Linked DNA regions of Saccharomyces cerevisiae S288C. The gene in region 1 interacts genetically with each later gene. Each region holds a gene or a part of one and is shown on either strand. Other genes may lie near its edges.

Region 1 (4,372 bases):
GGATTCTGGACTATATTATCCACTCTATTCTCCTCCTGCGATATATCATTTGCATTATCTGCTTTATCCTCTTCCTTTTTCATTGTTTTAGCTCTATCCAAATAAACTTGATAAATACTTTTCATTCTCTTAATATCTTCTTCTTCATTAGGGGATAAGAGTGATACATAGTAATCATCATCTTGACTTTTACTGCTACTACGATCATTCATATGTTCAGCTTCTCTGATATCTTGAAGTTCATAATTATCATCATCCTTACCAAAACGCAGATTCCTTTCATGTGTCTTTTCTGAACTATTATCAAGTTCGAATTCGAACGCGTCATTGCTTGCAGACTCATTTGACTCATTCAAAACCTCAGCCTCTTCACTAACTGAGGACGAATCATTGTCTTCATTAGGAAATGTAAACTGCTTGTTGGCACCTTCTGTGGCAGAACCACGGGAAAGCTGGTTATTATGGATTGGGCTACCGTGAGATCGAAAGCTTTCACTCTCTTGAAATCTTGAAGACGCTCTTATTGGTGTACAATTCGAAAAGTTATCAGGATGCAAGGACGTTTGACTGGCATTTCTAGACTCGGCCGCAACTTTATAGCCACCTAGTCCATCTTCTTGTACTCTCATGGCAAAATCTCTCAAACTGTTAGAGTCGTTCGATTCCTGTGGAAGCTGAAACGGGTCTACGTACCATGACCGACCAATTGCAGGTGGGGTAGCGCTTCTCACATTATATTTACTACTATGCATGCTACCAACAAAGGGATCTGAAGGCGGCTGTTGCAAGGTCTTTTCCATGAAGTCTTGCTGCGAGTCGCTAGAGTACAAATGATTTATTCCAGGTGAATAATCCTTCATTGTCGGTAAAAATTCAGAATCTCCTTCGAAATCTGGATCATTATCTTCCTCAGCTTCCTTTTTGCTTCTCCTATACACAATGCAAAGTATCACAGCCAGAACAATGATAATGACACCTACTGGTACCGCAACAGCCACACCAACAGTTACACTGGTGCTGTGACTCGAATCTGTGGGTAATTGACATTGCTGTTTAGAGCCTGTACATTCAGCAGATTTGCTATTTTTCGTGCTGGATGCTGAGGAAGAAGATGAATCGCTATCGTCTCTTCTAGTGAGCCTTGCATAAGCATAAGACGCATCAGAAACACTTACCGTTGAAGTCACAGATATTAAACTTTCATGCATATGGGTGTGGTACATCGCGAACTATATCTTTGTTAGAACTATGTGACGCTATATGAGTTCAACGAAAAACTATGAAAGGTAATGAAAGAATGAAAAGAAGAACCAGTGAAAAATTCGATATGGATAAAGACAAGGCCTGCTCCCCACAAAAGCTTCACCATGAGTTTGTTATTGATTATTAAAAGTTCTTATTGAGATAAAAAGAGAAAAAATACGGAAGAAACCTTGTCTTTTCGATGAACTTTCCTATTTGGGTGAGCAGTTTTCCTCTTCGAGCTGCAAAAAAGTTTATCGCTTCGCGAAAAAAAAAAAAAAAAAAATTTAAAGAATTTCAAAACGTGTCAGGGCTACTAAATAATTGAACGAGGTCTATGAAATAAAATGGGCTGAGAAAATTTCAAGAAAAAGGAAATAAGTAAGGGCTATTTAGGGTTAGTGGAATGGCTTTTATTATTTCCGCCGCGATGAACTTCCCTTTTATTGTGACATGATAGACATAAATATGACGAATGCCTACGAATTGGAGTCATCAGTAGATAGAACCATAATGAATAAGATAAAAACGCAGGTATTTAGGGTGACAAAGAGATAATATATCTTCAGCAAATGAGTGAGACCAGCTCAAGTCGCAGGAGCGCGAGTAAAGACGCTGTCAAATCTTACTTCGCAGGCAAATACAATAAAGTGTTGGATTCTATACTGGAGGCAGAAGCAGCAATATCAAAATCGCCAACTGTAGCAGAAGATCTATCAGGAAGCTCCTCCAGCGGAAATTCTGAGATGAGCCATCCTTCGCTAACCGCCTCCTCCGCAACAAGCCAAGGCATTAGCAAAAAGGAACTACTCCAACAAATTGCTGGTTCATTATTCAGTACGTCCATTGAGCGCCTGAAGACTGCCCACTCATCAGAAGTATCAAGTACTCCGGAATATTCAGTAAATGATTCGTATGGAGAGCAAGAGTGCAGGGAGTGCGATGGTGTTTTCAAGTGTTCAGCGCACTTTGAGGGCGCGCCCGAATATTATGACGATGAAACCGAATCAGGGCCAGCTCTAGAACCTATGACTTCCAATAGTGAAAAAGATCCTTTTATCGATGTATTTTTGGATAAACTAATATCGAGGTTGGTCCCTGAAAAGCTACCAGAAAGAGAGCATTTTAGTAGCAAAACCACCATTGAGCATGATCTAGACACAGGAAGGGTTCCCGTGTTTTCAGCAACTACATTGGGTAGTAATTTCAAAAAATTGTCTAAGAAAATGGGCTCAATATTTGAACTCCAGGACTCCATAGTTCGACTGCTGACTTGGAGAAACCCTACCGGGACGGTGACGTCGTTAATATTATTCACTTTGATATGTTTTAATCCAATGTACTTGGTAATTTTGCCTATATTCCGCTTTGTCTATGGTATTGTAGTTCCTGGCTATGTGCGTAAACATCCTTTACAAAGGAGTATATATCCTCTGAAACGGAATCACGGATCATCATTGTTATATGATGTGTGCTATGAGGGAAAAAATGAGTACAGCTACGGTCAACAGTTTTTCTCCAAATCTTTTATGGACACTTTGGAATCAAGAAATCAAGAAATAGACGAAATATCAGAATTAGATAAAAGAACCGAAAACACAGGGGAATTGAAACAAGGAATGAAAGTACTAATTAATTTACGCGATATGCAAAACATGACCTCTGGTACCCTTCATGTTATTGAGGCAATCAATAGTTTTCTTCGTAAGTCTTCTAGTTTTCAAAACGAAGAGTGCTCCACTAAACGTTTTTTTACAGGATTTCTTTTGATTGTTTTCTTAAAAATATTATCACCATTTGTGAATTGGAGCTATGTATGTAGCATATTCGCCTGGTGCTTACTGATATATATGCATCCAAGAGCTCATCCAAAAATAATAAGTTTTTTCAAAACAGGAACAATGGGAAAAGAATACAAAAACTTGAAAAAAAGAGAACACCAGGCGCTTAACATGATATTCGATGAACAACCGGAAACTAAATTCATCGAGATTTTTGAAATATATAAAAAGGCCTTACTGCCGAACGACTGGAAGTTTTTCCGATATTCAAATAGAATTTTCGATCCTCAAGATCCGTATAGAAGAGCACAGCAATTCCCACCGGGAGTAGATTCTTTGGCTGATGTTATTCCCCCCACAGGCTGGTCATTTGATCCTAATTTTGAGTGGAAAATTGACAATGATGTGGATAGGTGGGTGGTAGAACGTGGGTTGAATCTGCCAATTACCGGCGAATTCTTATTTGATCCAATGTTCAAGAGGAGGAGACTGATACATCGTGTTATTAAGAATGCAACACCAGTAGCATAATGCACAATTGTTTTCCTTCACCTACAACCCCACCCCTCTTCTTGGGGAAATCATTGTATTACGTACTTTTTTCCTAAAGATATTAGAAAAAAAAATGTTATGTATCAATATTACTAGGTAAAATACAAAAATGCGCTTTTGAAGTATAAATAATACAGTTTTGTTTTAAGAAATGCTATATATGAATTAATAATAAATGAAACGAAAAAAAGCACTACTTGAGTTTTAATGTCGTAAAACTTGAGAAAATTCTAAAGTGTCAGAAAAAAAGTGATTTTTAAGAAGGGACACCTTCTAGCTCGGATTTAGAGATTTTATTGATAACTCTTCTCCAATTTTTTCTATTATCATAAATGGGGACCCTCAATACACTCAAGTAAACGACAATACACAGTAGGGCAAAGGAACAGACTGACGCAGGGACCATCATTGTTACGAAATTTCTCCTAGAAATGACTTTTTCATATGGGCAACTAGCATAAGGACCACCACTTACCCAACAATTGCTTACTGATATAGAGTTCAAATCTATCCATATTTGTGTGTCAGAGAAGGAGGAATTCCTCATATATGCAATAAACGATCTCTGCTCCAATGGGCTTCTAGGAATATTAAATGAATACTGATCGGGACATTTAGATCCCTGGTAACTATCAAAATCAAAGTACGTAGCCTTATTTGATCTCACCAACCATCGGAATGCCATATTTTCATATCTACAGAGCCCAATATTAGAATTGTAACAGTTACCTACTCGCCATGTTACTGTCTCATTGTTAGCAAAGTAGTACAAGAGAACGCAATTGTAAGCCTCTAAG
Region 2 (3,761 bases), on another chromosome or scaffold:
CAAGTTTCCAGAGGGGGTGCTTTCTATGGTGTTTATATCAGCGTGGGCGTCTATCCATAAAAGACCAGCATCGGGGTATTTGTCCAAAACCGCGGATACAGTACCAATGGCTATTGAATGATCACCACCCAAGGTCAAGGGGAATCTGTTCGCCTGGACCACTTTCGACACGGAGTTGTACACCAACTTGGTGGCTTCACCAACCAAATCTGCTCTTTTAGCCTTGACACCGTCTATCATAACAGAGGAACCCCCAGTTGTGGAGTCCTTCTCCATTTTCAACTTTCCCACAAATTGGGCCTCGTCCATTGAGGGCTCTAATTCCGTAGACCAGCCCAAATCCTCTATGCTTGTTTGCAGACCATGCTTAAGCATGTATTTAGGGCCCTTCTCGACACCAAGCTTACCCTGACCGCCGCTGAATGGAGCCAGAACGATGGACAATTCGCGATTTTTGTAGTAGTTGTAATGAGGTCCTGTTTCCATCTTGATAGTAGTTATTGTTATTGATATAGTTGTTGTTGTTGTTTCTGCTAACTTTGAGAAAACATATACAGACCAAGAGAAGAGAAACAGTCTTAGATCTTGATAGAAAGTGGGCCGCAAGCTCTGCTTATATACTCTTTAGACCCCTCGGCGGCTACCGCTAAGTGAAAAATTCAGCGAGCGGCGATGCGCTGTTGATTGCCATTAGCAGCACGGTGCTTTGCGAAGGGCAAGAGCTAGAGACTATTCGCACTAGCCGATATTTTCGCGGCGTCTCGGCTTCTTGTAAGGGATAGAAAAAAACTGTTAATGGAAGGAGCAATCAAAGGGCGGGGATCGCGGGCGACGGTGCGGCATCGAAAAAGTGAAGAACCAGTAAAAATAGAGGTGGGGTTTATCAGTGTTGATATCTAAGTTTATGATAAACATTGATGAGTCAGGGATTGCACCCGTAGTTCATCCGTATGATGTGATGTTGTTTGTTTTTGTTTCATGTAAGGTTGCTAGAATAGGGTCCTGTCAGACAGTATGCGTAGCTTTACCATCATTTCGCCGCTATATGTGAAGGGCCGTAAATTGGATATACGGTATGTAAAAATCAGCGGAATATTATGATGAGAAGTGAGAAAATTGAAGTCAGTAATCTTGGATATTCAGAACTGTCAATCCTCAGTTTGGCCAATTTTATTTAATTTGTTAATAGCAGAACTTACCGGGCGGTCCAGTTTTGCCTACACGGTTTGGTATAAAGTTTAAAAAGCATATATACGAGCTAGATGAAGTATCCAATAGAGTTTTTCTCACGATGGTATTGGAATAGCTTCCTTGAAAGGTAACTACATACAGTGTCGAGGAAAAATAGACAATTACTTAAAGGAGTAAATGTTACTATACCTGAAAGAAATTAAGAGTCGCCATGCGTAGCAGTAATCACAACCGACATCGGGGAAGAGTGAGGGGAGCAAATTGGATGTAAATATTTTGGTGAATTTGCTCGGTACGCGCTAAACTCACATGATTTAGCAGCGCCGTGGCGCAGTGGAAGCGCGCAGGGCTCATAACCCTGATGTCCTCGGATCGAAACCGAGCGGCGCTAAATTTATTTTTTTCTTTTTACTCTTCATTTTTTTTCCAGGTCGGTGATAGTATATGAAATTCCGGTGGGATTGGGCTTATTATTTCAGGTTATATAATTTTTGAAATACGTTTTTCTTCTTTCTTCTCAGAATCATCGGTAATTTGTATGCTGGAGAAAGTAACAAATAGAGTCGATATCCTCAACTTCCCTGTAAGTCTTCACCTATAGAAACTGGTCGTAAAACAATGAGTCAGTTTGGCACGACAGATATCGTTTCCGGTTCAGAAACACCACCTTATTCTGGGGCAAGTTACCAGGACGCCCAGGATGACAATACCCATCCACATTCATCAGACGCCGGTGCAGAGAAGTTCAGTGCAGGCAGTGGAAGCGAGTCGCATACTGAATCCTCGAGAAGTGATGATGAGGATTCTCAAGCAAAAACAAAGATGGTGGATAATATTACCATCTTAAAATATATATTGGATTCTCTATCTGGTAGAGACAAATTAGCCAAAATTATCAAATACGCTCTGGATATATTAAAACTGTTTATCGAAAAGTCTAAGCGAAATTTAACTGTTTTGGACCCTTCCGTATTAACGTACTATACCAAGATTTTGAAAAATCTGACTGTAAAAGTCGCACTAAGGCATCCAATCACGGTAATTAAAGTACTTCTCCTGTCTCTTTTGAGAAATTTTGACAAGAAAATTGATTTTATCAGTCAACAATTAAGTACTTTTAGATATATTTTAAGGTTTGGCGGCACACCATTCCGAGTGTGCAGTTTCTTGGGGAAATTCAATAAAACCAGAAAGTGCAACTTTCAAATTGACCAAATTAAGAAAATATGGTTTAATGAAGCTTCATTGAGAGAATTTTTGGACTTGTATTATGGTATCTTTGATGAATTAGACTTGCTATACAAATTGAAAATATGGACAAATAAATCATTCTATTCCTTTGTCAGTAGACAAGAGTCTCTTGCATGGCAATACGACATTCTTTTAAGCTTGAAGGACCATTGGCTCAACCTGCAAAGCTTACAGAAGAGACAATTAGAATTGGAAGTGCAACTAAAAGTTCAAAATAACGCGTTACTACTCTCACCCATACTGATGCATCAGGCCCATAAAGACGATGGCTCACAATCGCCAATTAGGAAACAGTTGTTAAATGACCTAAATGTTAATAACGACGCAGAGGTGTTAATACACAAACAACTAAAGGCCATCAAGGATGAAAAGACACTTGTTTATTTAGATATTGCAAGATTATCGTTTGATTGCATGGCTAATACATCAGATATTCTAAATTTAAAAACTCCAAAGGGAACGTATGCCGTTCTGTCCCTGGGATCCGGCTTAACTGGACTGGTTAAACTTTGGATAACAACAAAGAGGTCACTTTGCTCTTCAAAAGATTGATATATAAAAATATGTATACATATAGATATGTACATATATATGTGGCGAATAATGTTTTACCTCTGCATTTGTATTGTTATTTGATTCGTTGAATAAGATAGTTTGGCGCTCGGTTTTTGCTCTTTTTCTTCCGTTTTTATGTCATTGGGGTGGCGGTAGTCATTCCGTTTTACGGTATGTTTATTCTGACACTTTGACGCAGATCTAAAAGGTGGAGTGTGGAGTACAAATAGCTCTCTCTCAAATACAGAAAAATACTTGAGTGTACAAAAGTAGCAACCTTTAAATAACAATGATTACTTCAATTGACATAGCAGATGTAACTTATTCTGCCAAACCAAGAATTTTGGTGCCTTATAAAACCCAATGGGAAGTCGCCAGTCATCTTCCTGAATATCGCAAACTGGCAGAAAGGGTAGAATTCTATAAATATGAGATGTCCACAAAGGATGATTTTGTTAAATTTTTGGAAACTCATAGAATAAACGGCTTTTGGCTCACTGAGGAGTTTTTCACTGTGTTAGGAAACCCTTCGAGTTATATTGAATTCTTCCCCGCATCTTTAAAAGTAATCCTTGTACCATGGGTCGGCTGTGACTTTATTGACGGTAAGTTATTAAGATCGAAAGGTATCACTTTATGCAACATTGGACCACATGCTGCTGACCATGTCACAGAATTGGCTATTTTCCTAGCAATTAGCTGCTTTAGAATGACTTCATTTTGGGAATATTGTTTTAAATACGTGGAAAATGGTAATGTTGAAC

What was found.
Region 2: of PEX28 (region 1) and PEX25, extra expression of one rescues a mutant of the other (dosage rescue), as found in Saccharomyces cerevisiae (one study listed by BioGRID).

The regions. Positions count from the first base shown.
Region 1 is NC_001140.6:395,437-399,808, forward strand, and holds PEX28 (Pex28p), read left to right. Parts: upstream 1-1,814; coding exon 1,815-3,554; downstream 3,555-4,372. Other genes in the region: SKG6 (Skg6p), read right to left, coding at 1-1,223; MTC6 (Mtc6p), read right to left, coding at 3,832-4,372. UniProt on the Saccharomyces cerevisiae protein: Involved in the regulation of peroxisome number, size and distribution.
Region 2 is NC_001148.4:336,669-340,429, reverse strand, and holds PEX25 (Pex25p), read left to right. Parts: upstream 1-1,809; coding exon 1,810-2,994; downstream 2,995-3,761. Other genes in the region: CAR1 (arginase), read right to left, coding at 1-486; YPL113C (glyoxylate reductase), read left to right, coding at 3,287-3,761. UniProt on the Saccharomyces cerevisiae protein: Required for regulation of peroxisome size and maintenance. Has a role in the import of peroxisomal matrix proteins. Imports RHO1 into the peroxisome. Also promotes peroxisome division and biogenesis.